Linked DNA regions of Danio rerio. The protein of the gene in region 1 purifies or fractionates together with the protein of each later gene. This does not show direct contact. Links are inferred from orthologs where the notes say so. Each region holds a gene or a part of one and is shown on either strand. Other genes may lie near its edges. The genes, in order: cxcr4b and tmem63ba.

Evidence for each region.
Region 2: the proteins of cxcr4b (region 1) and tmem63ba purify together in Homo sapiens (co-immunoprecipitation; 3 studies listed by BioGRID and IntAct, with this or other methods). This does not show direct contact. The link is inferred for Danio rerio from reciprocal best matches to the Homo sapiens genes CXCR4 and TMEM63B.

The regions. Positions count from the first base shown.
Region 1 is NC_133184.1:10,807,834-10,824,462, reverse strand, and holds cxcr4b (C-X-C chemokine receptor type 4b), read right to left. Parts: upstream 4,999-16,629; 5' UTR 4,960-4,998; coding exon 4,945-4,959; intron 4,591-4,944; coding exon 3,544-4,590; 3' UTR 3,026-3,543; downstream 1-3,025.
Region 2 is NC_133188.1:50,472,880-50,489,056, forward strand, and holds the end of tmem63ba (CSC1-like protein 2), read left to right. Parts: intron 1-1,010; coding exon 1,011-1,144; intron 1,145-1,538; coding exon 1,539-1,676; intron 1,677-4,006; coding exon 4,007-4,160; intron 4,161-5,401; coding exon 5,402-5,508; intron 5,509-7,348; coding exon 7,349-7,435; intron 7,436-8,056; coding exon 8,057-8,122; intron 8,123-8,314; coding exon 8,315-8,477; intron 8,478-8,580; coding exon 8,581-8,686; intron 8,687-8,997; coding exon 8,998-9,165; intron 9,166-10,698; coding exon 10,699-10,814; intron 10,815-10,894; coding exon 10,895-10,957; intron 10,958-11,118; coding exon 11,119-11,271; 3' UTR 11,272-15,722; downstream 15,723-16,177. UniProt on the Homo sapiens protein: Mechanosensitive cation channel with low conductance and high activation threshold. Osmosensitive cation channel preferentially activated by hypotonic stress.

The DNA.
Region 1 (16,629 bases):
ACTGTTTTGCAAATTTTAAATGCGATCTGAGTAATGCACCAAAGCTATTGAAAAACTGTAAGATAGCACTGAAGTACAGTTAATTATTTTTTTAAGGCATTGTGTACGGTATAGATTCACACATCACAATAAAACAGGCTCTTGGTGTGACATTTACTTTGGTAAAAAAAAAAATGTAGAAGCTTAGTAATGTTTCACATTTTGGACACCTATTTACATGTAAAATTTTATGTTATAGATTTGTATATCACAGAGATTTGACCGTAACTAAGAGGAGACCTTTGTCCTTTTTATAAAACATAAACAGTTTTAGATAGAATACATTTATTGTAACTGAAAATGTCAGTGAAGGTTCAACTAAAATACAAAATTTGGGAAAAACTGTCCCTTTACCATACAGTTTTCTAACATTTTATTGGATTAAATGTAAACTCTTCATATCTAAACAAGTACACACTATTAGGCTAGGCTATACGAAATCATTGGAAGAATCATCAGGCAATCAATATCCTAAAAGCAGCCTTTGTCTTGAGTTAAAGACCACCAGTTCTGTTTGTTCTATTCAGTGGTTTTATGTAGGGCTATAAAGTCTTTCATTGGTCACAGGAGGTCCTGATTCAGGAAGCTTCCTTCCCCATCCTAATTTTCCAGCCAAAACAATGTAAACATAATAATAAACTAATAGCAAGGAGGAGGAAATACAGTTTAATCAACCGTCTGTGCAAAACCACTTCCTTGGCAGCTTTATGCACATCTACAAACAGGTCAATCACATTTCCGACCAAATTTGGGAAGCAGCTTGCTTTTAAAAAAGTAGATCATTTTACGTTTACAGTTTCAAATTGAGGATGTAAAGCATAGTCAACTTATATTAAAACATTTTCAGTTAATTAATACTTTTTTTTGTATATAGCTTCTCTAATGAATGATTCAAGTGATGTTTTCAAGTAGCTCCTTTCCATTTCTTCCTCATAGTTATTTCGTTCTTTCATTTTTCCTCCCATTTAAACCATCAATTATTAAAAGGATTGGTGTGTCTGGATGCACTTAACATCTGCTTTTAACCTGTAATGTGCTTGGCTGAAGGTTTGTCTGAGTTTTAATAACAGGGTTTTACCAGCTGATTTCCAGAAGCTCCTTTTGGCTGCTCTCTCTTCAAATGGCTGTCTGGAGATGGGAGAGAAGGTCCAGCTGAGCTCAATGGAGTGTTAATGGTGTGGCGTGGCTTTTGAGAACTGCTCTCATGCTAATGACCAAACCATTCCAAAACATTTCCAAATGAACAAAACGCAGCACTGAATGCTCTATTTTCACCGGCCTCTTACTGTGAGGGCAGACAGTGAAAAAATACCATAAAACTTAATGCATGATGCAGGGTGCTTCACACCTCATTGAGCTCTTTAGAAATGATAATTTCAGCCCAGTGTGTTAAACATGAGTCAGGTCATTACAATGGAAACCTTGCGAATATCTATATTCTACCCATATCGTTTCTTCAGGGCTGCTTACCTGCTTCTGTAACTAATTATTCATCGCACTTGTAGACCACATCCTGATGATTGGCATATGTACAATAAAACTGCAGCCAAAAGCGCAGAAGTGCAAGACATTTATTAACAGTAACAGGCTGAGTTATGAAAGATGAAATTTTCCTTTATTCTAAGTTGACATCAGATGCAAAATATAAAATGACTGCTTATTTGTGTTTTTTCCTAACATAATTTGTGAGATATGTATGTAATTTACACCCCACTTTTATTAAAAATATGTTTATACAAGCTTATATATGCTTATAAATACTTGCAAAATACTTTATTGCAGCAATACTTTTGTTTTGTTACTTTGCTGCTGTTTTGCTACTGTCCAGACTACTGTTTTTAAATACAGTAATTTCAAATATATCTCTCATTAACATTGCAGTATCACATTACATTATAAATAAAATTGTTTGTGTATCATGTCTTGAATCCTGCGTTTGGGTGTCATATATTACCAATCAAGCTTTGCATGTTTTCAAAACATTTTTGCATTTTCAACATTTTTCAGCTTTTTATTATTTTTGTTTTATTAAACATATGCCTTCAAAATCTTTTTTGCTTCTTTTTTTACCCTTTTTTTCTTTTTTTAAGCAAAGTGTTGGTTATATGACAATAATCACTATGCTGTTATATTAAAAACAAGATTATTGTTAGTTTTAACAAGAATAAAATGTTTATATTTTTCTGCTAAAAATGTTTTATTTTTCACTATTTCACTTAATTTGTTTTTGATTGTTGTTTTTTCTTACTTGATTTGTTTTTTTTGTTTTGTGACTTTTTTTCATAAAAAAGATGCAAAACCAATTCTGCGTAAAATAAGTTGTTTGTGCACGATTTATAAAGCCCATTTGTGTGTATAGTAAAAGTAAAACACAATAAGTCATTACACTAATGAAACTGAAAGATAAAATATGTTTAGTTGTCTTCTTTAATATTTAATATGTACATTTGTGCAAATTTTTTTTTCAAATTTTAATTTTTCATGAAAATTTTTCACCCTATTTGCATTATTCAGATTTTTTTAACTGCAATACTACAAGAAATTACTATAATACTTTAAATCCTAAGGAAAAAATAACGGCAATATTTTTTTTTCACACTTATTATACATAAATGGGCATTTTGTAGATTTTGTTTAAATTAACTACCATATTAATTTCTTTCATGTTATATGATACAACAACTGAAAACCCAAAGGATGGCCAATTCTGTCTCTTTGTAGGTTGCTGGGTGTCTTGTATCAGCAGTTGCTTAAAACGCTAAAGAACACAGATGTTCTTAAAATTACAGACCCTCTCCTCAACCATTCTGTTCAGTGGGAGATCAGGTGGAGCTTTTGTTTTGGTAACTTGACAGACCTTCACTTCAGCTCTACCAACCCCCACTCACAGATTGGGGCTGTGTTTCTGTATGTGTGTGTGTTTGTGTGTGTGTGTGTGTGAGAATGGCCACTGGAGAGATGTAAGACAACACTAGATCAGACCTCATTAAAAGTGTTGATTTTTAGGTTTTATTATGAAATGGAAGTTAAAATGCGTCAAAAATGTGACAATTAAATTACAAAACTCAACATTTTAAAAGTTTTTACAGTGTGAGCTACCATTTTAATAAATATAAAAAAGCTAAACTGAGTTGGAAAAGCTAAGTGCACACATACACACATTCACAATGGCAAACAATGAACTATGTACAAATAATTTACACTACGCGTTGGGAATCTAACAAAAGACTATGCTAACATTCCTGATAAGACCTTCAGCAAGAATACAGACTTTGTCAAGGCTCAGCCTTTAGGTCTGGCAATAAAAGTACAAACATGTACATAAAAAAATTAAAATATTTTTTAAAGCTGAATAAAAACAAAATAAGTCTTACAAAATAAAAGTCATCAGATCAACACAAAAATACTTTACAATGTACAAAAACTGTAGTAAAGTCCTGTTTTTATAAGCTTAATCATCCATGTGGAAAAGTTTTTTTTTCTTTTTTTGTGTACATGCACACACTAACTCGTCAGTGCACTGGACGACTCTGATTCAGTAGATACAGATGATATAGGCCCCCTTTTCTTGGTCAGCATCTTGTGACTGGATCTACTGCTGATGCTCAGAGCATTACGGGCAGATTTACTGAACCTGACGCCTAGGAAAGCATAAAGGATAGGGTTGAGACAGCAGTGGAAATATGCCAGCGCCTCCGTAAAGAAGATCCATTTCTCCAGACCCTGTTCCAGGAAACAGCTGTGAGATATGACGTTCAGCATAGTCAAAGCGTCCACCAGGATGCCGGCACAGTAAGGCAACCAGCAGATGAAGAAGCAGAGGATGAGGATGACGGTGGTCTTCAGTGCCTTCCTCTTTAGAGTCTGACCCTTGGAGTTCTTGGACAGTTTTGAGATGATGATACAGTAACAGGTCAAAATGATCAAACCAGGCAGCAAAAAGCCAATGATGATGTGCTGGAAGCGGAAAACTGCTTTCCAAATGACATTGGCCTCCTGCGGGTAAGTAAGCTCGCAGATGGTACCCATGCTCGAATTGTGGATTTTTGCAAACACCAGATCAGGAATGGTGAAAAAAGTCGCTGGAAGCCAAACTCCAATGTAGATCACCCTTCCCGCAAGCAATTTCCTTAAGTTTTGGCTGTTTGTGGCACGTACTACTGCAAGATAGCGGTCCAGGCTGATGAATGCCAGGATGAGCACGCTGCTGTACAAATTCAGAGTGTAGATCATGTTGACTGTGACGCACAGAAATCCCCCAAAATGCCACCCGCTGACTGCATCGACCGCCCAAAATGGCAGGGTGAGGACAAACAGGAGGTCTGCGATTGAAAGGTGCAATCTGTATTTGTCTGTCATGTTCTTTGACTTCTTCTGGAAGCCCATCACAAGCACCACAAGTCCATTGCCAATGATTCCTAGGACAAATATAATCCCGTATACTGTAGGGAGGAAGATCTTCTGGAAGTCATTGCTGACTGAGAGGTCGCAAAGTTCTTCTCCATCATAGTCCCCAGAACCGGAGTCAGAGCTGTTGTCTAAAATGATGCTCTGCAGAAAAAAGAAGAAAAAAAATCAGTATTTTGATTAACTTTTATATAAATACCACTTTATTACGATAATACTAACAAAAAATAATAATAATTCAAGAAAACAAAATGCAAAAAAAAAGTAAAATGGTTTTATACAAATACAAGGTTAATAATAAATGACAAAAAATAAATAAATAACTGAAAAAAATATATAGTTATTTTCCAATGCTTCCAAACACGAGCCTGAATGGTAAAACGTGACACCCTAGGGCAAGTAATAAAACATGATACACTTAAACTAGTCTTATTAATAATACTTATCAATGGAATGTCTGATAACACAGCGTTATAAATTAATCACAAGCCAACTTACATCGTAAAATTCCATTTTGTTCTTATAAGTGTGCTCAAAAAGGCGCAATAAGTCTCCACACTTCAGTCAACCGCCCTCCTCTCACAGCAGCATTTAAATAGTCCTCCGTTCCCTGAGACACGCCCAATTTTATTCAGCAGGGCGGGGTCATGATGCAGGCGGCGCTTGTGCGTTGTGGGTGTGTGGGGGGTGATGAGAGAGTAAGCGGCAGCTCTCTGGCATGTCAAAATAAACTGTGTTAAATGCATGCGCTCGAGCGGATTTTACAGAGGAAGCGTAATATCTACATGTTTATTCGGGCTAAATAGCAAAAATAGCCTATGCACAGAAAAAAAACATGGTTTGAAAAACACTATTAAACAATGTTTTGAAGAAATATTTTTAAGACGATTTGCTTTTCTTTACTACATGAAAAAAACGATATAGTAGCCTAATTATAAAAAATAAAACTGTTTTTGAACTATTTTTATAGTAAAGTCTATTTTATTGTAAATCATATAGTATTTCAACTTTGTTAATGAATGCTTCAGCACTGTAGAGAACTGTTCAACTGTAAAAAAACAAAAGAGAAAAAAGAAAAAGGCAGTATATCCTATTTTAGTTTTTACTACAGTAAACTGTAGTGTACCAGTATAGTATACCCTATTGTTGTAGAAAACTACAGCATGTCATTTGTTTATATTCCTGTTTCGTTGTGTTGCTATAGCAACTGCAGAATCAAAACAACAGATCAAAGATTACTACCACAGTTTCCATACCAACTATACAAAAACAACACCAGATCAATTTAAGTGGGCTACATTACTATAGTTTGGTTTGAAAACAATGTATTATTTACTATAGATTGCTATCATCTTAGACAGATAGATAATGAAAAAAGATGATAGATAGATAGATAGATAGATAGATAGATAGATAGATAGATAGATAGATAGATAGATAGATAGATAGATAGATAGATAGATAGATAGATAGATAGATAGATAGATAGATAGATAATGAAAAAAAGATAATAGATATATGATAGATAGATAGATAGATAGATAGATAGATAGATAGATAGATAGATAGATAGATAGATAGATAGATAGATAGATAGATAGATAGATAGATAGATAGATAGATAGATAGATAGATAGATAAATAGAAAATGAAAAAAAGATAATAGATATATGATAGATAGATAGATAGTTAGATAGATAGATAGATAGATAGATAGATAGATAGATAGATAGATAGATAGATAGATAGATAGATAGATAGATAGATAGATAGATAGATAGATAGATAGATAGATAGATAGATAGATAGATAGATAGATAGTTAGATAGACAGACAGACAGACAGACAGACAGACAGACAGACAGACAGACAGACAGACAGACAGATATATAGATAGATAGATAGATAGATAGATAGATAGATAGATAGATAGATAGATAGATAGATAGATAGATAGATAGATAGATAGATAGATAGATAGATAATGAAAAAGGTAGATAAATAGAAGGACGAACAGACAGGCAGACAAACGGAAAGACAGACAGACAATCAGACGGATAGATATCTTTTATATTCAAAGTATTATTTGATGTCAATTTATTTATTTATTTATTTGCTAATTAGCTGTGCAACAAAGGGGATAATGAGCAGTCAGCAGGTCATTATCACAAATTAATTCCCTCAAGGGCAATACAAGCCACTTTGTTGTGTTGAAGTGCTGATCACCCTGCCAGGGTTTATTGTGTGTTAAAGGCTTCACAAGATCCCTCACATATTCATCTGATCATCTGTAGTGGACTTTCTCTCTCAGAAATCCCAGCAGTTTGTTTATTATCGCGTCATGTGAAGAGCAGTGTGAAGGCCGTTACTTGAGGACACATCAGGCTTTGTAGTGTGATTTACTGCATGACGGTTCTCCTCTGGTCCTTCCTGCAATATATTTGATGCTGGGCTCTGATTGTGAGTGATGAAGGAAGAAGGTCACCCAGTCGCCTCCATCATAAGCCTAAACTAACATTTCCTGACAGATCCAAACTCTGCGACTCCTAACGATGATCATATTTCTCTGAAACATGACGCGCTGATTTAAGGGAGTTAATCATTTCATTTGTGAGAGTTTGCCGAATGCGAGTTCAGAGTTGGCTAATATTTTAATTATTTATTAATTCATTTTCTATTGGCTTAGTTATTTTAATAATCTGGGGTCGCCACAGTGAAATGAACCATCAACTCATCTAGCATATGCTTTACGCAGCGGATGCCCTTCCAGCTGCAACCTAGTACTGGGAAACACCCATACACTCTCACATACACTACAGCCAATTTTGGGTGCTTTCACACATAGACTTTTGTTTCAGAACCTGTCTCGTTTGCCCAGTTAGCGCGGTTCGTTTGGCATATGAAATTTCAGCAGTCCCGCTCAGATTCATGCCAAAACAATCGTCTGAGATTGCCTGAATGAGGTGGTCTCGGCTCAAATGAAACAAACTCTGAAGTGGATCAATTGTAGTGAGAAAGCCATACGATTTGAGCACGGTTATATCACAGTGTTTTATGGAAATGTAATACGACCAAATTCCAAACATCCCAAGTCTCCCAGAAGTTACCAGGGGGATTACGCGGGCATCCGGGAGTCTCTGTGCATTTGCGGGAGTGTCAGTGATCGGTAGCAGCTGGAAGGGCGTCCGCTGCTTAATACATATGCTGCATGGATAAGTTGGCGGTTCATTAAGCTGAAAAGAAAATGAATTAATGAAGTGCGATTAGCTTGATAGCCAATGTCAGCTGCTTTTTATTTAGTTAGTGTCATGAAGAAACATGCATCCCTAGTAGCAAAGAATTCTGGCCCAGATTTGGCAAAAAGCTGGCACAGCAGGCATTCAACCAGCACTGGCATACAGCATGTGGGCCAAACATGGCCCGGGTTTGGCAGAGGTGGCACCGTTTTTAAGGCGGCACACAAGATTTGGGCCAGATGAAAAACGTAGTATTTGGCCCAGATTTAAAAATTTGATAAGTGGGCCATGTGAGATTGGCCAGTCTTGACTCACATTTAAAATACACTAAAATCATTTTTGAGTAAAAAACAAAAATTCTACCAATCAGGTCACTTTGAGAAAAAGCGTGCCCTACAGCGCATCACTCTATGGGTTTATCAATTTCATTGCGATCGTGACACACCAACCTATCTGGCCCAGTTCAGGCCCAGTTATGAGTTATTAACTTGGCTGAGACTTGGCCCAGATATGGTCCGTGTTTGGCCCTTGTCTGGAAGCCAGATTTGGTCCAGTCATGTACCGTAATTCACTGCGGCATGTGGGCCAAGCAAAACCTGATTGTGTGGGCCAGAGCTGGGCCAGAGAAATTTTCCTATGTGGGATGGATTTAAAAAAATAAAGCAAATAGGAGAGCTTGAAGTTAAATATAGGATAGAGTTGAAGAGTTCAGGTGCAAAACTTCTAAGTGCTGTCTGAAATTTTCCTGCATTTTTGCCTGGCTCCCCTGTGCATGTTCATTAATTTCACTTGTATGGAAAAGAATAGAGGTATGGCCAGAGCCGGAGTTGGACACCTTTTCAGCAATGGAGTTTTAAACCTTAGACCGGCCACTTCAGTTCACAACTGACTATATTAAAATAACATCATTTTCAAATCAGTACTTTACAGTGAAGATTTATTTGAACAGTTAACACAATGTAATGTTCAGAATCTATTTTCTGTAAGAATTAGTGCTCATAAACATCCAAACCTTGAAATTAAAAATAAATACAAATATTAAGCTACATGTATAAAATAAAGACTGAAAAAAAGAGAGTTCGGCTCTCTTTCAGACTAATCTGTTTCAGGAATTTCAATACAAATGGAAAAAATGTTTTTTTTTTGTTTTTGTTACATTAATATGGATTAATATCTCTTTACAGCCATATCCTGTACAGTTTTGTTGTCTGAGTGGTGGTCATTTCGAACTGAAATCGTCCTGTGGTCCACTACAGTGGACATCCTGTAAAATTAAAATTAAAAACAAAATGTAAAAACTCGTAATTATAGATTTTTTTGTAAACCAAAGGATGTAGGAAATCACACAAAAAAAAGAAGAAAAAAAGATTTATTTTGGTCTCAGGAGGATATGACACCAGCCCGGCCCTCACGGCCAAAATATGGACCGGCCCACAGAGAATTCTCCCGGTCCTCTCTATTAACCTGGATATGGCTCAGTCTTTAGCATTGTTGCCTCACAGCAAGAATGTCACTTGTTTGAGTCCCAGCTGGGCTCGTTGGCATTTCTATGTGGAGTTTGCATGTTCACCCCATGTTCGTGTGGGTTTCCTCTGGGTTTCCCCCACAGTCCAAAGACATGCAGTATAGGTGAATTGGATAAGCTGAATTGTCCATATGTATGAGTGTGTCTGTGAATGAGTGGATATGGGTGTTTCTCAATACTGGGTTGTGGCTGAAATAGTGAGGTGACCTCTTAAATGGAGAGGAAATTAATTAATGAATGGAAAATAATAGGTTATTTTCATAGCCTTTAATGTGAAATAACTGAACATAAACAAAGGAGGCTGAGAGAAATGCATATTTAAAAAAAAATCCAGATCTAACTTGAAGGTTTCTGCATATGAACACTTCAGTTATTAACCAGTTTAATCATGTTTTTGTGGTTTAATTATTCTTAACACACAATCTTCATACATTATTTTAGTATTATTCGGGTTAATATTTATACTAACCATATACTAGGCTAAAACTTTTAGTATTTATCATAAGTATATATTTATACTCAGTCATAATATTGACTGCATGGTGGGAAACAGCATTTAGAACTAATCTGCAATTGAATTGTTTTCAGTTCAAACTGTCACACTACTATTCACAACTGTGGCTGTTAACATATTTACACCTCTTAGATGTGCTAGCAGGAAGCACATAAACACATTACATAATCTGACATTTTAGTCAAAACAATATATGTTTTTGCATTTAATTTCTCATCCAAAGTCAACAATAACACATCCAGAAATAAGAATTATGATTAATTATTACCATGAATAACATGCAATGAGCTGTGACAATAATTGAAAAAATTACTTAATAACAAAATAAACCATTGACCATTTACTGCACTGTGACCTGAAGTGCCCTCAGACAGCATCTGATGCATTTTTTAGTTATCTTTATTTCACACAGATATATAAAGCACACAAAATTGTCAGAATGACTGAATATAATGTTGATTCTGTCATAAATAAGAAAAAAATAGATATCACTATATTGGATCTTAAAGTGATAGTCAGATACAGTGCTGTCCATGAGCTTTGTTTTAATAAAACAATTAAATAAAGATGCTGCTTGTAAATTTGGTGCAATAAATAACTTGTATTTCAGTATTTGGTAAATGTATATTTAATCAGGGCAACACAGTGGCGCAGTGGGTAGTGCTGTCGCCTCACAGCAAGAAGGTCACTGGTTTGAGCCCTGTCTGGGCCAGCAGTATAGTGTGGAGTTTGCATGTTCTCCCCATGTTTGTGTGGGGTTTGCTTCGGTTTCCCCCACAGTCCAAAGACATGCGGTACGGGTGAATTGGCTAAATCGTCTGTAGTGTATGTGTGTATGTCTTTGTCCTCCAAGTTGGGGGTTGAGCGTTGGGCTAACAACCCACCTCATAAAATAGATGTTATGAAACAGCAATGTGGTGCAGCTACATATCAACTTTGATATTAATGACTCTGGGAGTGAGTAAGTAAGTATATTAAATCAGTTTTGAAGATTTTATTGTACTCACAAAATCTGAGTGAAATTGGTTTATATTCTAAAGAAGTTAAAAATAATGGAACACATTTGATTTGTAAGTATTTGTAATTTGAAATAAACCCCCTTTCAGTGATTTTTTTTATTTCTGTTTGTTGTTGTGTCTGAGTCTGAGTAAAGTTCTTGGAGTCAGAGTCACATACAGATGGGATTCCTCCATCCATTGTGTTCCTGTGAAACTTCAACAGCTCGGGCCTCTGGTGAGTAATGGATACGCAGTGAAGGTGACTCGGGACAAATAAGAGTAGATGTAGAAGTGTTCCCTGACGGATGATGACATGAGAGAATTTTTATGCTCTTTTCCTTAAGGATCATGTAACTGTGTCCAATAACAATAAACACTTGATCCTATCTTTTGCAGTTCAGACACTTAAAAGTCTAGAGCTTTCTTTTTGCTCTACTGATCATATAAATCTTTCTTTCTTTCTTTCTTTCTTTCTTTCTTTCTTTCTTTCTTTCTTTCAATAAACTTTTTTTCTTCACAAACTGTAGAAAATAATATAAAAACAAAATTGCTGAAGTATGTTTTATAAGAATTTATTTTTTTCAGTCTTTATACTCTTTATACTTTTTCGGGCAATTCTGCAAATATATGAGTAAAATAGTTTACACAATCTTTTCCAATTTATTATGTAAAATGTTGTTTGCTAAAATAAATACTAGCAATATCTGAATAAAAATGATTCATTTACACAATTTAATATATGCAAAAAAATTATTCTCACTTACAGTTTTAATATTTTTATTTATTTATTTTTTTTGTAAAAAATAAATAAATAATAAACAAAATACTCTTACACCAGCTAGACCTGTAAAATTCACAAGCAATTTTTGAATGAAAATATTTTTATAGTAAAATTATTTTCACCATACTAGGTAAGAATTTTTTGTCTTTAAAGAATGCCTAATAGATGTCTGTAGACGTCTAAACATAGTTGTCTTGACTAAAACAAGGCTAAACTTGGGCTGTTAGCGAAAATCTAGACGTCTAAGAATAGGCCAAAACTACTCGTCAAATAAACAGATCGACTACACATATAAAGTCTGTCTAATCTGTCTATTTGACGACTATGTCTAGTTTGTACTATTTTTAGATGTCTATTAGATTTTTACTCACAGACCTGTTTTAGCTAAGCTGTCTACATTTAGATGTCTATTAAATGTCTATTAAACACATAATTGTTTGCTGGGTAGTTATCTTTGCATTATTTGAAGTTATTAGAAAAAAAAATGAGTGAAATGACACATTTTTTGAACAAAAATATGCAGTATGATGTAATACTTCTACATAGAAAATAATAATAATAATAATAAAAAACATAGCATTACACAAGAAAACTGCCAATTTTTCCTCAAGATTTTTCATAAAACCACTCTCAGAAGTGCATTCAGACTCAAACTCCAGCATGGAAGTTTCAACAGGTTTTGACAGGCCGCTTCAGACTGAATTATTAACCTGGCAATGTCTCTGTGTTTTGTTTTCTTTCAATTATGCGAGTGAGGGTCAGGTCAGGAGGATGTGTTTCGCTAACCAGCGCTAGAATCCCCCCTGTGAAATATAAGATACCCTGTCCTGAGAGCATTAAACACAATTCGTTTGTACCCTGAATACAAAGGATCTGTGCGCTGTTTAGAATTCAAATAAAAAAAGTGTGAAGAGCGGCAAGGGAGTTAAGGAGCAGGGAATAAGCATGGAAATAAGGTAAAAGAATGCAGAGGAGATAAAGAACGAAATGTGTAAAGCCTCCAGAGAGTAAACAATGCTTGTTTTTTTTGCAGCCGCAGCTCATTCGTGGCCGTCAGCAATGCTGCAAAAGGATCACACTCATAATAATATGATGAGGGCTGAAGGATCAGCTCTGGTTTATAAGATAGAGCTTTTTGGCAAATATGCAATGATACATAATTAATCTTAAAATTCAGAGCTAGGGGGTTTCCAGCAATTACAAGCCAACTGTTTGTGTGAAGACTGTGGAGATTTTTTTTCTGCTTTGATCTGACACTGAAAACCCCAAGCTGGCTGATTTACATTTTGTCAACCTGTTTTTTTTTTTTTTTTTTAACATTTAAAAGTCAAATGTAGCTAGTCTAAATTTTGAATACAGAATTAACATTTAAATATCACATGATTACAGTAGCTGCAATTGATTAAAAAATTTTTATAATGGAAAAATGGTTATAACATTAATTAGAGTGACTGAGGTGAGTTTCATGAATAAAACCCTTTTCATTACAGAAGATATATAAATGAAATAAATAAATAAAGGGGCGACGCGGTGGCACAGTAGGTAGTGTTGTCGCCTCACAGCAAGAAGATTGCTGGTTCGAGCCTCGGCTGGGTCAGTTGGCATTTCCGTGTGAAGTTTGCATGTTTTCCCCATGTTCAATGTTCAGGGTTTTCTCCCGGTGCTCCGGTGTACCCCACAGTCCAAACACATTTGAAACAAGTCAATTGGATAGGCTAAATTGTCCATAGTGTATAAGTGTGAATGATTGTGTATGGATATTTCCCAGAGATGGGTTGCAGTTAAGCTGCAAAAAAATAATATATTAATTAATGAATAAATAAATAATTAGATTGAATTTAAATACAATACAGGTGAGATTAAGTAAATTGTTTAATGTGTGGTTTTGTTTTTGTGTTCCAAGTAGCCTAAATGTCTGTTTAAAACCCACCAAAAAGCCACATTTTTGGCTACGCTACAGTCAGTATTACTAATTTACATGTATTTGTAAACCTGGTGTGTTTTAAAGTACATTTCACTTCTAGTCTTTGCATTATCCATCACAATAAAAATAAATTTATGTTCTAATCATTCATGGGCTTTATTTATTTTTATTTTTTTATGTAGGACTGAGAATGCTATGAAATAATAATACTGTATTTACAAAAAGTAAAAAAAAAAAAAAAAAAAAAGACTTGTGAGATTTCTCAATTGGAAGAAAGACAGCAGGAAATAGAAATTTCCAGCAGGGAAATATGTCTCTAAAACTCTCGAAATATCAAATATAAATGTTCACATATAAGCTCTCAGTTGGTGCGCAATCTGATTGGGCCGTAAACATTACTTAACATTACGTAAAACACCTTAAATATCAATGCTTAGTTTGATGATGCCTTTTTGTATTTGTTAATGCAGAAATGCATATTGGATGGCTGTTGCCTAATTCCTTCCAGCATCTCTGTGGTTGTGTTTGTGCATATTTCAGATTCACCCACCTCCCCTCAACAAGAGCAAGTGAAACATAACCAGGGGAAAGACATGATAAGATTTGCCCATTCATGTTCCAGCCGGGAATATTTTTCATCTTTCGTGACTAAATGGTGTGTTGCTCATATATCATAAAGTTTCTCAATTTAGGTGTGTGTCAGGGAAAAAAAAACAGGTCCTACACTCTAAAAATGCTGGTTTGGGTTAATCCTTAAATTTAAATTTATATAAAACTTTAAAGCCAATGGATGGGTTTGTCCATATTTGACCCATATTCGATATTAATTTGAGTTTTAAAAATAAAAACCAACAGTTTTAGAGTGTACACATTTACTAATTATGTGTTTGTGTAAAATGTAAATAATATATATACATATATATATATATATATATATATATATATATATATATATATATATATATATATATATATATATATATATATATATATATTTTTTTTTTTTTTTTTTTATAGAGGTCGGACAGCATTTTACAGAAATATTGTCATTTAGAACATGATGTTTCTCAGATATTGACAACTGTTCAGAAAAGCTAATTTCTTGTCACTAAAAAGGACAAACACTTCTGAAGGTAAAACACTGGAATTGTGATTTCTAAAAATGAATTCTTGAATTCACTGTTTACTCAAAAACAATAACTCATTGGATTAACTCGATTTCCATGCAAAAAAAAAAAAAAAAAAAAATGTTTAGCACCAACTAAAAAAACTATTTACACATGACTATTATGTGTCGCACATTTTGAAATCTCTTGAAGTTACCTGAACTAAAATAAATTTTTAAGCATATTTCATGAGTTACATTTACAGTTGATCGACACTGATCTCAGAACTAATTTAAGGACAGTTTTTGCTCACTGAGCAAAGCAACAAACTGCATTTTAGCTAATTAAGCTGCCAACACCCAAAGCATGGGCGCTTCTGCAAGTTGGTAATCTTAAAACTCAAAGCATTACATGAAGCTCTTCTAAATCTTCAAACTAAAGTGAAGATTAAACACCAGCAAGTCTTTCTCTGAACTTTAAACACCTAAAATTACTTTTATTGTCAACATTTCCCTCTCTTGATGCCATCCCATGTAAACATGTTGGGAACTACAAATCCCCTTACCAGATAGTTGGACTAACACAACTCCTTTATGTTGGCCCATCACCCAAAGCATGGGCGCTTCTGCAAGTTGGTAATCTTAAAACTCAAAGCATTACATGAAGCTCTTCTAAATCTTCAAACTAAAGTGAAGATTAAACACCAGCAAGTCTTTCTCTGAACTTTAAACACCTAAGATTACTTTTATTGTCAACCTTTCCCTCTCTTTATTCAATCCCATGTAAACATGTTGGGAACTACAAATCCCCTTACCAGATAGTTGGACCAACACAACTCCTTTATGTTTGCCCATCTCAAAATGCAGGGACAACGCAAAAAGTTAACATTACAAATTTAAGTGAACTGAACAAAAACAAATAAATTGGCTAAAAAAAATGACATGAATAGTGTTCTTTCAGCTCATTTTAAACAGGTAGTGTGAACAAGATGCAGTAATCAGTTTTTGAGTATATTTGAAAACATGAAACATCTTTTATGCCAAAAAAACAACAACAACAACATATATTCAATTTTAATTAATACATTCAAGAAGCATTTCTTGTTCTAAAATTTCTTCAGATATATCTTTAAATTTAACTCCATGTTAAAGAAAATGATCAGAATATTGTTTTATAGTTGTTTGAAACAAACACTGTAAAATATGTTTCATGTTGTCCCAACCCAAATTGATTACGTTAACTTATTTATTATTATAATAAATAATGATTTACTTATTATAATTACTACTTATTATTTTTTACAAAATTAAGTGGACTGAACATAAAACAATTAAGTTGTCCTGGAAAAAAAAAAAAAACTTAAGAATTGTGTTGCTTTGACTCATTTTAAATGAGTAAACAAGCACCAAAAGTAAGTTCAGAAGCTTAATTTATAAGTAAAAAAATGTTTGATCAAAACAGGCCTAATATTGATGTATTGTGTTATTTAACATCTTGATGGAAGAATGTTTAGACATTTGATAAAAACAAGACAAAATGAAGAAAAGGCAACTTATTTAAAGACATTTATAGATAATAATTACATCCCAAATACATTTAGGAAATGCCTTAATATAATTTTTAATAACAAAGTCTTACGATTGTACAATGGAAATATTTAAAGACAAAGGTTTGCCTTATCTTCGAATGGCACCTTCTTATGCTTCCTATTTGGGTGTGGGGCAGACGTATTGACTTTTTGAAAGCTCTTCCTCTTATAGCATTAGGTCATGGCTTAGCACTTTGAAATTAGAGGAGATGACCATTTATTCACAAGAGAATTCGTTGGGCAGGCCTTAGTTATACCTTAAAAATGTTTAGAGATAGACTCAGAGAAGTAATGAGAACAGTTGAGTCTCTCCATGCACGGTTTGCAATCAGAAATGTTGACTCTCACTTTCGCAGCATGTTGTTTACACGTGAGCTACAGTGAAACCATGTAAAACAGGCAGTCACATGCTGCACCATGCGCTTCGTGTGGGTGCTGATCTGTGGTGTTGACTTGCAACAGGAAGCACTACAGTTTGCATGGAGTGAGAGAGCAAGAACGAAAAGACAAA
Region 2 (16,177 bases), on another chromosome or scaffold:
GAAGGGGGCGGGGGATGTCAGACATTAGAGAGCGTTTGATTGGTCAAGATTTGATGAGAAACCAAAGTATGAGGTTACGTGAATAACACCATTGATCCATTTAGGCAAAGAGAGCCCAGACTCTGTCCTGGGGAGCCGGGTGTCCTGCAAAGTTTAGTTCCAACCCCAATCAGACACACCTGGGGCAGCTAATCAAGCTCTTACTAGGCTAGAAACATCCGTGCAGGTGTGTTGAGGCAAGTTGGAGCTAAAATCTGTAGGACACCAGCCTTCCAGGACTGAGTTTGGGAACCCCTGATTTAGGCGGACGTGACAAACTGCAAGCTTTGCATCTTTATATCAATTTCATGTCTCCTAAATGTGTGTTTTGTCATTGTTTTGGTGTGCACTAGCTTATACTGTGGCAGACCACGATTTTTTTTGTGATTTTTGCAATTAAAAACTACAGACTTTTTGGTGTTGATTTCCAGAAACTTGTGGAAGTTTTGGGATTGAAAAAATATATATAATTTCCTTCAATTTGGTCACTTCCAGCTGCCGTCATCATTGAACCATTCTCCATCATTGTAAGCTGCTTGCTGTTTTCTGTCTGTTTCATTGCTCCATTTGTTAGATGTTTGCTCCCACTTTTATTTGCAGCCTTAAACACGTCAAACGCAAAAAACACCCAATTTATGCCATGACATTCGCTCAATTCTGCGTACGAAACATCTAAGTCATGTAAAACTATTAATTGCAAACTGATTTCAATATAATTTGATTGCATGGTTTAGAATTTGATGTTTTATGAGATTATTTAAATTTTTTGAAATTATTTTGCGTTTCAAGTAAGAATTTTGCAAGGTCACAAAAATTTGCAATTTTTTGTTGATTTTTGCGTTGGATTCAGCGATCGTAAAATCGCAAACAAAGGAACAATACTGATTCTAACATCTAAAAAGTTTTATTGTAATTTCATTGTACCTTTAAGTAGTGATGTCTGACTTTGGTCATTTTAATCCACACTGCAGGAAGAGGCTGTGAACTACTACACTAAGCTTGAGGCCAAACTGAAGGAAGAATACAGAAAAGAACGAGAAAAAGTCAACACTAAACCTCTGGGAATGGCCTTCGTTACCTTCCAGAATGAAGCCATGGCAGCCCTGTAAGTCTATGTAATGTTCTGGTGTCTGTGTGTTACACCACTAATCAAAAAGTACTGAAATTGACCTTTCAGTTTGTTCCTAAAATGTGGTGGAGTTGATTGATGAATAAGAAGATAGGTCATAAATATTGATTTAAAATACTGAGAAGTTTTTTTGTTTGATTTGTTGGTTTGTTGCTGTTTTACTTCTGTACTATGTAAGTGTAAAGTTAAAATGCAGTAAAGATATTTAAAATAAAAGAAGAGAAAATGATCAGGTTTTGCCATTATATTCTCTGAAGTAAAACTCAAATGAATGTTAAAATCGTTACCTTCTGATACAATTCTGTCTCCATTGGGATTTATTATTGAAAGGGAAAATAATATTAATATCTCTGTTTTTTTCTCTTCCCAGCATCCTGAAAGATTTTAACGCATGTCAATGTCACGGTTGTCACTGTCGACGACAGCCAAAGTCCTCCCCGTTCAGCAGCCAACTCCACACATACAACTGGACGGTCTCATATGCTCCAGATCCACAAAATGTTTACTGGTAACATCCCTTTCCTAAACCTCATCAAGTAATGATCCTTATGATTATAGTGCTTGACTTTGTGCATAAACCAGAATCCATATTGTTGTGGAACTGTCCACTTAGATATAAAAGACCATAATTGGACATCTACACCAGATTTTTTATGCACGTCAATTTGAAATCAATCAATCATTTTATCTTAGTGTACACTTTGTAAAAAAAAAAAAGTTGGACATATATAGTACTTAAAGAGAAAGTTCACCCCAAAATTAAAAAGTGGTTCTTTTTTCTGTTGAACACAAAAGAAGGTATTTTGACGAGTATTTGAAGAGTTCAGATGCAAAACCCTTTAAATCCATCAGACCTCTTTTCTTGTAATTGAGCATTTTCTATCAGGCTCTTCTAATTAGGTTTAAAAGTTTAATTTTATATGTAATGATAAGATTATTATATAGTAAATAAAATACACGTTTTTCAAAAATCTCACTTTAGATAATTCTTTGGTTTTTAACAATGTAAATTTTCTTTTGCGCCAAAAAATGCTAAATCCACTTGTTCTTTTTTGCAAAAACCTCTAAATCCACCTATTGGCACAAGACAGTTTATTTAGTTAAAAATCCCTAAAGATGCAATTAGAAATTATTTTACCAAGCATAAAACACATTACACAAACTACCTACAATTAAAAATATATAAATGCGTCAAGTGGTGGTTCATTCCGCTGTGATAAACCAGGGAAAAAGCAGAAGGAAAATGAATGTATGAAATCTGTTAAGTAATTCAATCTGAACAATCTCTTGTCATTTCTGATATTTAAGATTTAGATTTAATGTAAGTACAGCAATGTAAACATTGCAAACATTGTAAGCTAAACTTACAATTACTAAATAATGTAGTGTAAAACATGATGAAACATCAATATCTGTGCATTGTCCATTAATATAAAAAGCTTATCAGACGGATGGGTATTATAAAGAAGGCTAATATAAATGTACAGTTTCATACATTAAATTCATCTTTTAAAAATAGCTTAAATTAGCAAATAAAACACAAGGTAGGCCTACTGGGCAAAAAGGGGATGCCTCTCAGACAATTTGAAAAGCTGTCATTCATTCATTCATGCATCCATCCATCCCCACCAAGGTCTTGGTCTCTTGTTTATCCTCATTTCATCCATGTGGGATAAAAGAACGGCATCTTAACTCTGTCTTTAATGAAATGCAGTTGCAGTTTAATGTATGGCAAATTCTACTCATTCAAAGTAGCGTCACTGCGCAAAAAACGTTATGAATGCATGCTACACTTTCGACTGTACAGTGTGTTTTCTTTTTCTTATAATTCACAGAGTTTTGAGGTAAGGGACATTTTCATTTGCCATTCACTGACAGCCGGACAGGTTCATCCAGTTCATCAAACTCTCTTTTAAAACCGAAATCGAAAGCGGAATAAAACAGTCTCCTCATTAAGCTGGCATATCAGCACGCTGTACATTGAAAACGTGATTCGATTCATGCCTTCTGATTGGTTCTCGGGATATAGCGGCTTTTCCTGTCAAAGGAAATAGTTAACAATAGGAAACAGTTTCCAACATCTTTTAAAATAACTTCTTTCAACAGTTCAACAGTAAAAAGAAACTAAAACAGGTTTGTGACAAATGAAGGATGAGAAAATGATGACAATTTTCAGTTTTGGGTGAACTATCCCTTAAATAGATAGATCTGTCCAATTATATGGATATTAGGTCAAACAGTGTACAGTAAATAATCACAGAGCCGAGATATGTTATATAGTATAAATTGCTTTGTATATTCTAGTTTTGCAGGTGAAGTTAGGATGTACTTTTATGATATTACTGGCTAATATGGTATAGTTTACAATTCTTCACAACAACAAAAAGTGCCTTTATTAATGTATAAAGTTGTCATTATTATTATTATTAAGTAATATATAGGTAACACTTTATTTTAAGTCACAATTCATGCTATTAACAAACCATTAACAAAACATATAGCTCAATAAACTGCTAATTAATTGTCAGTAAGGTCGCAGTTGGGTTTAGGTATTGGCTAAGATTAGGGATGTAAAACAAGATCATTCATTATAGCTACTAATTTACAGTTAGTATATTAATAAAAGGCAGGTAATAAGCCAGTAGTGAAGAGTGACTTAAACTAAAATGTTACCGTAATATTTTTTCTGTATTGAGCTTGCCAACTTAAAGCCACCACATGCTGAAATGACCATAAATAAATTTGATTGTACTCTCTGTCTTACCTTATGGTTGGATATGCTTATAACAGTTGTATCATTCATTGTGGTAATTGTAACTTATACCTTGTTCTCCACAGGGAGCATTTGTCCATTAGTGGCCTGAACTGGTGGGTCCGCTGCTTTGTCATCAACTGCTTTCTCTTCCTCCTCCTCTTCTTCCTCACCACCCCTGCTATCATCATCTCCACGATGGACAAGTTCAACGTCACTAAACCTGTGGAATACCTGAATGTAAGGAGTCTGTTTGTCCAGGTTGTAATGAAAACTCACGCGGTAGTGAAAAACTGTTTGAGAAATTGATTTTGAATTAACTCTAAGATTCTCAAAATCCATCACTATTCACTTTTGAATCAATTCTGTGCTCAGTTTTTAACAGCAGATGGTGCTGTATGCTTTACAAACAGTCATGCTCTGCAAGCATCCAATACAAAATATATACATATAACATTTTACATGACTCCTTCTCGTAGCATTTGAATGCATGGTCAAAAACTAGCCTAGAGTGCTGTCTGTTATTAAAACTAGCCTAGAGTGACATCTGCTGTTTAAAAACTAGCCTAGAGCGCCGTCTGCTGTTAAAAACTAACCTAGAGTGCCATCTGCTATTAAAAACTAGCCTAGAGCGCCGTCTGCTGTTGAAAACTAGCCTAGAGCGCCGTCTGCTGTTGAAAACTAGCCTAGAGCGCCGTCTGCTGTTGAAAACTAGCCTAGAGTGCCGTCTGCTGTTGAAAACTAGCTTAGAGCGTCGTCTGCTGTTAAAAACTAGCCTAGAGCGCCGTCTGCTGTTAAAAACTAGCCTACAGCGTTGCTGCTGTTAAAAACTAACCTAGAGCGCCGTCTGCTGTTGAAAACTAGCCAGCCTAGAGCGCCGTCTGCTGTTGAAAACTAGCCTAGAGCGCCGTCTGCTGTTAAAAGCTAGCCTAGAGCACCGTCTGCTGTTAAAACTAGCCTAGAGCGTCGAACTAGCCTAGAGCGCCATCTGCTGTTGAAAACTAGCCTAGAGCGCCGTACTAGCCTAGAGCGCCATCTGCTGTTGAAAACTAGCCTAGAGCGCTGAACTAGCCTAGAGCGCCGTCTGCTGTTAAAAACTAGCCTAGAGCGTTGCTGCTGTTAAAAACTAACCTAGAGCGCCGTCTGCTGTTGAAAACTAGCCTAGAGCGCTGAACTAGCCTAGAGCACCATCTGCTGTTGAAAACTAGCCTAGAGCACCGTCTGCTGTTAAAAACTAGCCTTGAGCGCCGTCTGCTGTTGAAAACTAGCCTACAGCGCCGTCTGCTGTTAAAAACTAATGTCAGAATCCATTAAAAATACAAAATAGGGATGCACTTTGAAAATCTCAGCATCGTTGCAGAATTGATTTCTCAAATAATTGTTCGCCAGTCGCCATGGCTCTAATAAACACAATGCTCTTGAGTCATGATTCTGTCAGTCATCTCAAACCTCCCTCCGTTTCCCTGTGTCTGTTCCTCCAGAACCCCATCGTCACTCAGTTCTTCCCTACCCTGCTGTTGTGGTGCTTTTCGGCCCTCCTCCCTACCATCGTCTACTACTCCGCCTTTTTTGAGGCCCACTGGACACGGTACAATCCCAATCCCTGTATATCAGTTAACCTAATTGACCCGGAGATGGTCTCCATTTATAGCAACTAAACTAGGGCTGCACAATAGATTGCTTTTAAGTTCTGTGACTCAGCATTTCATTCGTTTCAAACATTTGAGCACAAAAAAATTATGATGTTTTGAGGTGTAACAGAAATTAATTGTACAGTATTTAAGTATTTATACATTTATATACACTCACCGGCCACTTTATTAGGTACACCTGTCCCACTGCTTGTTAATGAAAATTTGTCACATGTGATGGTGGTCACATGGGAGCAACTCAATGCATTTAGGCATGTAAACATGGTCAAGACGATCTGCTGCAGTTCAAAGCGAGCATCAAAATGGAGAAGAAAGGTAATTTAAGTGACTTTGAATGTGGCATGGATGTTGGTGGCAGACTGGCTCAGAAACTGCTGATCTTGTGGGATTATCATGCACAATCTCTAGGGTTTACAGAGAATGGTCTGAAAAAGAGAAAATATCAAGTGAGCGGCAGTTCTGTGGGCACAAATGCCTTGTTGATGCCAGAGGTCAGAGGAGAATGGCCAGACTGGTTCCAGCTGATCGAAAGACAACAGTACCTCTAACCACTTGTTACAACCGAGGTCTGCAGAAAAGCATCTTTGAACCCACAACACGTCCAACCTTGAGGCGGATGGGCTACAGCAGCAGAAGATCAAAACGGGTGCCACTCCTGTCAGCTATGAACAGGAAACTGAGGCTACAATTCACACAAACTCACCAAAATCATACAATAGAAGATTGGAAAAACATTGCCTGGTCTGATGAGTCTCGATTTCTGCTGCGATATTTGGATGGTAGGGTCAGAATTTGGCATTAACAACATGAAAGCATGGATCCATCCTGCCTTGTATAATTGGTTCAGGCTGGTGGTGTAATGGTGTGGGGGATATTTTCTTGGCACACTTTGGGCCCATTAGCACCAAATGAGCATCATGTCAACGCCACAGCCTACCTGAGTATTGTTGCTGTTACTTCCAGCAGAATAACGCACCATGTCATAAAGCGTGAATCATCTCAGACTGGTTTCTTGAACATGACAATAAGATAACTGTACTCACATGACCTCCACAGTCACGAGATCACAATCCAATGGAGCACCTTTGGGATGTGGTGTGCATCATGGATGTGCAGCCAACATATACGCAGCAACTGTGTGATGATATCAAGTCAATATGGACCAAAATCTCTGAGGAATATTTCCAGTACCTTGTTGAGTCTACGCCACGAAGGATTAATGCAGTTCTAAAGGAACAATGGGGTCCAACCCAGTACTAATAAGGTGTACCTAATAAAGTGGCCAGTGAGTGGTTTTCTTCTAATTTTTGTCTTGTTTCTGGTCCAAATATCTACATTTCAAAAGCATACTAGATTATTTTGCTTACCCCATTATTTTGCTTACCCTATATATAAACCTATATATATATATATATATATATATATATATATATATATATATATATATATATATATATTGATATTACTTTTGTAGGTGGAAACAATATTTTTACTCAAATATTTGCACTAGAAACAAGACAAAGTAAAGTAAGAAAAGCTTTTTTACGTTGTGATTATTAAATGTATGTTCCTCAATACTGTCAATACTTCCCCGAAAACTGTCAAATAGTGCTATTCAAACCATCTTGTGAAACTGTAAACATATCACAATGTTTATTAAAATATCTCTATATCAGATTTTTCCAATATCGTGCAGCTCTATACTAAACTATTTTCTGCCTAGCACACGCATAAGGGTGCTAAAAGCTGAAAATGTGTTGGACCTTTGCCTTTCAGATCTGGAGAGAACAGAACAACCATGCACAAGTGCTACACCTTCCTCATCTTCATGGTTCTGCTATTGCCATCTCTTGGATTGAGCAGGTAATTAATAACCACTGGTGTACATAGAAAACTATCTATGCTAAAAGGAGTGTAAAACGTTAATTTTCCTGAATAAGCAACCTGATAAGAGTCTTTGTTATATGCTAAGTTTAAATCTGCGTATATTACAAAAACATTTTCATATGCAGATACTGTATTTTGTTACTAAAAAGCATATCATATGCTCATGGGTATTTGAAAAAAAAGAAGTTAGTATAGGTGTTTCTTTACATTTGCCATCAGAAATGCTAAGTGGTAACTGAGTGAATTTTTCCCTCTTGAATGAGAGATGTTAATTAGATATGTGTTAATTATTACCTTCCTGTTTTACAGTAATCATTTGCATCATAATAATAACATAATTTTATGCTTAAAGGAGTATAAAAATGTTATTTTCCTGAATAAACAACCTGATAAGAGTCGTTGTTAAATGCTAGTTTAAATCTGTGTATATTACAAAAACACTTTCAAATGCAAATACTGTATTTTATCACTACATGGGTATTGGAAAAAATAAAATGTTTATTTATTTATTTTTGTTATTTTGGAGGCTGTGTTAGTTTTGTTGAACTGGTTCTAAATTGTATTAAACACTCAACATGATTTCTTCCCCAAATGCAGTTTGGATCTTTTCTTCCGCTGGCTTTTTGATAAGAAATTCCTTGATGAGGCAACAATCCGATTCAGGTAAGTCCACATCAGGAATTGCAGCATTAAAATCGTCCCCTTTCATCCCCTGATTTGGGAAGTTAAACTGGAAAAGCTAGAAAAGTGACAAATGTCTACTGATGTTGTGAATTGTAGCTTTGCAATAAAAACTTCAATAAAAATAAAAATTCCCCTCATCTCTGTTTTAATGATCTTTTTCCTGGCTGTTAGGTGTGTCTTCCTGCCAGATAATGGAGCTTTCTTTGTGAACTATGTTATTGCGTCTGCCTTCATTGGTAACGCCATGGACCTGTTACGCATTCCTTATTTCCTCATGTACATGATCCGGCTGTGTCTGGCGCGCTCTGCTGCAGAAAGGCGCAATGTAAAGAAGGTCTGTGTAGTTTAGAGTTTATCTCATTTAAATGTATGTACTGTATTCACTCCTTTGTTTCTGAATTTCTCATTCTGCTTCTATTAAATGCATTTTGTTACAGCATCAAGCTTATGAGTTCCAGTTTGGAGCTGCTTATGCTTGGATGATGAATGTCTTCACTGTGGTCATGACCTACAGCATCACCTGTCCAATTATTGTACCATTTGGTGAGTAAATAATTAATTAACCTACACTGAGGTATTATTTAAAGGCTCAGTATTGTTATGTATGTGATGTAGGTGTTACTTTGTTTAGTATTGATTGTGTTCAGCACTTTGGGCAACGTTGTGTTGTAAAAAATGTGCTATATAAATAAACTAACTAACAAACTAGTATGTGTTTTGGCCACTAGAGGGTGCATATTCACAACAAACAAAGGTGTATTTTGATGACGGCATGACTAGGTGTGGAATCATGCGAGTTTTAGTCTTCATTACATGAATGAAAAAAATAAATAATTGTATATTTTTACCCGCAGGATTGATGTACATGCTTCTGAAGCATCTGGTAGACCGGTATAATATGTATTATGCCTACTTGCCCTCCAAACTGGATAAGAAAATCCACTCTGGAGCTGTCAACCAGGTGGTGGCAGCACCTATACTCTGCATCTTCTGGTTGCTCTTCTTCTCTACTGTCCGTCAAGGTAAGAACGGTCTCTGTGTTCTGCCTGATTGTAGACATGCTCTGGATAAGGGCTGCACAACAAAGTTTTAGCATCAATCAACATTGCAAGCTCTGCAGGGTTGAGTCTTGATTACAGTTGGTCAGACACTACACTACCTGACAAAAGTCTTGTCATCGACCCGAGTTGTAGGATCAACAAATAACTTGACTTCTAGTTGATCATTTGGAAAAGAAGGTGGATTTTTCTATTGAGCTGCATCCCAATCATCGCAAATACTGCAGAAGACCTACTAGAACACACATGGACCCAAGATTCTCACAGAAATCAGTCAAGTTTAGTGAAGGAAAAATCATGGTTTGGGGTTACATTCAGTATGAGGGCGTGCGAGAGATGTGCACACTGGATGGCAACATCAACAGCCTGAAGTATCAAGACATTTGTGCTGCCCATTACATTACAAACCACAGGAGAGGGCAATTTCTTTAGCAGGATAGCGCTCCTTCTCATACTTCAGCCTCTTCATCAAAGCTCCTGAAAGCAAAGAAGTTGCTCCAGGATTAGTCAGCCCAGTCACCAGACATGAACGTTATTGAGCATGTCTGGGGTAAGATGAAGGAGGAATCATTGAAGATGAATCCAAAGAATCTTGATGAGCTCTGGGAGTCCTGCAGGAACGCTTTCTTTGCCATTCCAGATGACTTTATTAATCAGTGATTTGAGTCATTGCAGAGATGTATGGATGCAGTCCTCCAAGCTCATGATGGAGTCAGACACAATATTCATTCTGTTTGCACTGCAGCATGACTTTATATTCTATACTGGACACTATTTCGGTTAAGTGACAAGACTTTTGTCTAAGCAAAGACAGACCTTACTGTCCTAATTAAATCATTAAACATCAAGGCTGGATCATATTTAATTTTGACCAAATAAGCGTCATCTAGAGGCCTTTGCCTTTAATATAACCCTCTTCTGAGACCAAATGATCAACTAGAAGTCAAGTTATTGTTTGTTGTTCCTAAAACTTGGATAGGTGACAAGACTTTTGTCAGGTAGTGTATTCACTAACATATACACAATGAACAATACATTTATTACATTGTTTGTTTAAATAAAGTTGTTCATTGTTAGTTCGTGTTCACTTGTAATAAATGCTGTACGAGTATCGTTTATAATTAGTTAGTAAATACATTAACTAATAAAACCCCATTGTAAAGTGTGACCTGTATCTTTGCCTCAGTTGCATTTATCGAATGTAATTAATTATATTTTATGCAGATGCAGTGCTCTACATATCATTCCAATCAATCTAAAACAATTATTCCTTTTCAAAAATGATGAATGCTTTTTAAAAATAGATGTTCAAGTCACCTGGTGAATATGTAATAATATTAAAGTTTTTTCCAATACTGTGCAGCCCTATTCAAGATGCAGTTACAGTATGTTTCTAAAAATACAGCAGTGCTAAAAGTAGCAAAAAGTACAGGCAGATTTTTGGCGTATCTGTAATATGATTTTTCAATCTTGCTTGTCTTTTTTTCAATCTGACAGGATTTGGTGCTCCGACATCCATGTTTACTTTTGTGGTTCTGATCATCACCATCATTATTTGCCTCTCGCATATAGTCTTCGGTCATTTCAAATACCTCAGCGCGCACAATTACAAGGTCAGAAACAGGTTGATTATGATTTTAAGAAATCATAAAGGCCAGAATTATAAACCCAAATGTGATTGAATTCTCTGCAGATTGACATGGATGGTGTGGACAATGGACGACTGCGAGGTTCATCCCCACCGGTCAAGTCTATGGTAAGTTTTAACCCTCAGGGATGTTTATATATTCTCAGGGGAGCTAATAATTCTTCAACTGTTTTGTGCAGCCCTAATTGACGCACTACTATGTTGTCCTGTCTGATGTTTTCTATCTGCTTTACACATTCTGCACTGTTTTTTTTTTTTTAAATCAACAGCAGACGTACATTGCTCAAGTGCTACAGGACCCAAACTCAGACGAGACCGGAAGTGACCAGGGTCAAGGGTCATCGCAGGACGAGGAAGGGGTGACCGAGGGTGACTTCCAGTCAGGAGAGGACAGTCTAATTGAAAACGAAGTGCACCAGTGACCCAGGCCGGGCCACGGCATGTGCTGAACTGAGAGAAACTAGCAGGACTCCCCACATAACCAAACGGAGATACACTACACTAACTGTGTGTGAGTCCATCCCAGCTGACAGCTCAAACACTCCTTTATCTTTAATGTTTGGAGACAGGATGGCCAATTGTCAAGAACCTGGAGAGTGGCTTGTGATTGTACTCCAATATTGTTCATCATAGTTTCATAATTCATCCTCACATTGTTTGTCCTGGATTTGGTAGGTACAGAGTTTCCTGCCGTTACAATGCATGTTTAGTCAGTAAGACCAAAAATATAAATGATTAGCAAAAAAATGAATTATGACAGCTGTAGTGCTGTATCAGTTGGCCAGTAATGTTTTATAATAATATATTTGCTTACAGATTTCACCCTTAAATCTTTTGCATTAAAAGATTACTTATTTGGTGACAATTACAAGTAAAAATAGGTAGATTGCAACAGACTTTAACAATTACAGTATAAAGGACAGTTCTAAGATAGTCGAGAGCTTAACGTGTTGCATTTAAGAAAACACATGCAATTACAAAAATTGCACACAAAATAAGAAAAGATCCTCCTCACAACGCATACACAACAGTGCTGCATTTTCCTACAACGCAAATAAATCAATAAAACTTGCTGCATTTTCCTACAACGCAAACAAATCAATAAAACTTGCTGCATTTTCACACAACTCAAACATTAATAAAATGCGCTGCATTTTCACACAACGCAACAGTTTACGAAAACGCCTGCATTCACACAACGTAACAATTAACGAAAACACACTGCATTTTCACATAACACAAATAAATTAATAACGCGCTACATTTTCATGTAACAAACAAATTAATAAAACTTGCTGAATTTTCATGTAACAAACAAATTAATAAAATGCTCTGCATTTTTATGTAGCACAAATTAATTAAACACGCTGCATTTTCACATAACAAATTAATTAAACACGCTGCATTTTCACATAACAAACAAATTAATTAAACACGCTGCATTTTCACATAACACAAACAAATTAATTAAACACGCTGCATTTTCACGTAACACAAACCAAGAAAACATGCTGCATTTTCTCACAATTTACGAAAACGCCTGCATTTTCACACAACGCAACAATTTACAAAAACGTGCTGCATTTTCCCATAACACAAAAAAAATTGACAAACCGTGCTGCATTTTCCCACAACGCAAACAAATTAACAAAACGTGCTGCATTTTCACACAACACAAAAATGAGCAAAAATGCACTGCGTTTTCTCACAACTCAAACGAATTTTAAAAAACATGCTGCGTTTTCACCCAACGCAACAATTTACGAAAACACAGCATTTTCACACAATGAAAACAAATTAATAAAACATAAAAATGAAAATAGATATATATTATTTTTTATTAGTCTGAATAACCATAACTTAATAGCCAGGTTCGTCACATTTTAGGTTCTCTTAAAACGTTTCCGTTGTGTTTCATGCTATTTAAAAATGTTGTAAGAAAATGCAGCACGTTTTTGTAAATTGTTTGCATTGTGAGAAAATGCAATGCATTTTATTAATTTGTTTGCATTGTGAGAAAATGCAGTGCGCTTTCGTAAATTGTTTGCGTTGTGAGAAAATGCAGCACACGTGCATTCAAACAACTGAAGAAATTTTCTTAATTTGCTGTCGTTTTTGTAATGTTTTCTTAAATTGCAGCACATTAAGCTCTCTCAGCCACCATACAGTTCACCCATAAATAAAATACAATTTTCTCAGTATGAAATAGTTCTAAACTTTCTTATAAATTCTGAAGTATGATGGAAGCCAGCAGCTATTTACATCAATAGTAGGATAGAAAAAAATACCATAGAAGTCATTGGCTGTTTCTCTGAAAGAAACTCAATTGACTTGCAACAAGTAGAGGATAAGTAATGAAGAATGACAGATTTTTCATTTTTCTGTGAACTATACCAGGAAATTGTGATGTCAAATGTATTAATGTGCATTCATTTACTTTTAAGCTGTCCATTAAGTAGAGTTAAGTATCCAATTATAGTACAGAAAACAGAGAGCCCTAAAACATTTCATAATCACAAATTGTATCTCATATTGTAATAAATTTTATACAGTCAAGCCCTAAATGATTCATAGCCCTGGCAAATTCTGACTATTCAGTAAGTACCTTTTCCTTAAAAGTATCATTTCTTAAGTTATTCCTTTATAGAAGTTATATATAGTAAGTTATAACTTATATAAGTTATTAGTATTATTATTCCTTAAGTTACATTTACTCAGTGAGTAACCTGAAATCACACATAATAAGATGATAATGAGATAAGACGATGTACAAGAGACATCATTGTAGAAAATAAACATTTCACAGCTTTTATTTACAATTGAACTTTACCTTTAAATCAGAATTTGCCAGGGGTGTTAATAATTTCAGGCTTGACTATATTATTATAAATGCTCAAGCTTTAGAAACCAAATATTTTCCTTGGGTCAACTGAAATAGCACTACATCATAAAGTATTTTAAGATTAGACAAAAAAAATCATGCAATTTCATATCTCTATTAAAGTGAATGTATTTAACATAAAAGCCACTGCTAGTTCCTCTTGAATTGGGTTATGTCGGGAAAAAAAAAAACAGGATGATGAAGCTCTGATTTAACAGACCGTGAGGGGAAAACAGCCGCCGAACACTAACTCTCTCACCGTAATATACTTGAACTGGAAAAGCCACTATTTAGAGCGTCTGACAGACTCAAATCTCTGGAACTCTTAAAGGTCAAAAGCATCTCCTGTCCACCCTTCCGTCTTCAGCATATCCAGTGTTTCAACAGTTTAAATGTAACTACTATCACACTGCTAATGCGCGATACTGCTGTCTGAATCAAATGGACCAACTTTGGATCATGTTGCTCTACTGTGGAATGTTGTCAATAACTGGATACTGTAGCGAGATGCACAGCAAATCCCCAATGCGGACATAAGGATTTGCTGCTGAACGTGAATATGTTTTTCTTTTTGTTATGCATGGGTATGATAGCAATGCTTTCATCAGGTTTGTTGATTTGGTTTCTTTAACAAGTATAGACACTAACTGTTATTTGATCAGCTAACATGCTTTACTACTCATAAATACAGTAAAAAATGACATGGGAAACAGTATAACATCAAATCTAGCAACACTCTCATTGGGTCATGTGTCCTTAATATGGCCTTCTTTATTGCTATGGTGGTGTTTTCCTTGGCATTTCTACAAGAGAACTGGAACTGGTGGTTCTTACCTGTGTGCATTTACAAGCTGCTTGCTTGCAGTTGTGAACTGGGTTTATGCATCATTTAGTGGTTGAATCTGGATTAAAACAAGAACAAAAACTAGTTAAATCACCCGTTTAATGACCACTTTTAAAATTTAGTTCATATGATTTTCCTACGATCTCCGATTAATAACATATTGCATTTTTTTTGTTCAATGTAAAAGTGCAGAAACAAGATATCTTCAGAGTTTTTCCCTTTCGGAAATGAGCAGACAAAGGCTGTGCCTGAGTGCTTGCTTTAAAATCACCATCACCTCCCCTAAATTGGTTGATCTTTCCTGCTAGTTGGCTCTAAATAGTTCTCATTGTGTCATTTATTGTTTACAGGAATAGCAATGCAATGGTTAAACTGTCTTTTTCCGCATCAAACGTTGACTTGAAATGGTCGTCAGGTGTAAGCTTAGAACATTAGCAAGCTAATCGGTGATGTTTTAGTTCATTTATGTAAATCCCACTAATCACTGAGGAGCTTTGTAACTATTAAATGCAAATAACACTGTAGGCTATGCACTTTATGTGAAAATATGTAACATTATCACGGTGTATGTAATGATATCAAGCCATTTTTGTTATTGATCTCGTTTGGACGTGTACCTGGATGCTCCTGCTGCTTACATACTGTAGGTGATGATGTGTCCGTATGACTGCATCCTGGATCTGTTTAGGAAAAAGAAAACAAAACACTGTTCTGAAGCATGATGCGGTGGCAATAATTTATTTATGCATCTCTCTAGGCTTTATTTCCCATTTGTTACAGGTGTCGTCCGCGATATTTATTTCATTCGTCTGTTATATTTTCCATCTTCTGAATTAACCGGCCGTTGACCTGGAGTGAAGCGGTTAATCGGTGTGATATTTTTGTACATAGAATCATTGCACTGCTCTTCAAACACTAAACTGTATTTACATTTGTACAGCTTAGCCAGCAAAACCCATGTACAGTCGACCATGCATTGTTTGCTTTTCTTCCATTCGGATTTCCCCTTAAGATCGTACTTTGCTTGCGATTGCTGTTTTTAATAGTTTTGTATCTCAACCTCCCCCTCAGATGATCTTTTGTACAGCGTCATCCTCAAACTCTTCCATGTCTTTGAACAATAAAAGAGTCATTAACTGACAAAACCATATTTGGAGTCAAGAAATTCATTTTCCTTTGGCTTAGTCCTTTATTTATCAGGGGTCACCACATCACAATGAACCACTAACTATTTCAGCATAAAGTGGACGCCCTTCCAGCCACAACCCAGTACTGGAAAACACCCATAAACTCTCACATTCACACACGCACTAATGCACTACATCCAATTTAGGTTACCCAATTCACCTATACCCACCAACCTGATTTCACCAAGTAGGACATGTTTCTGGATTAACATCCATGTTGATCCTGGAACAACATGCCAATCAGAATTAAGTGATTCGTTTACCGTTTATGCTTTCGATTTGGTTTGTGCACTTGTACATGATTGATTTTGGGAATCATTTTCAGTTATGGTTGGGTTTAGGGGTAGGGAATAAGTATGGATTACATTTTTTGACAAAAAAAATTATGTTTCAGGATTAACATGCTAATCCAGGAT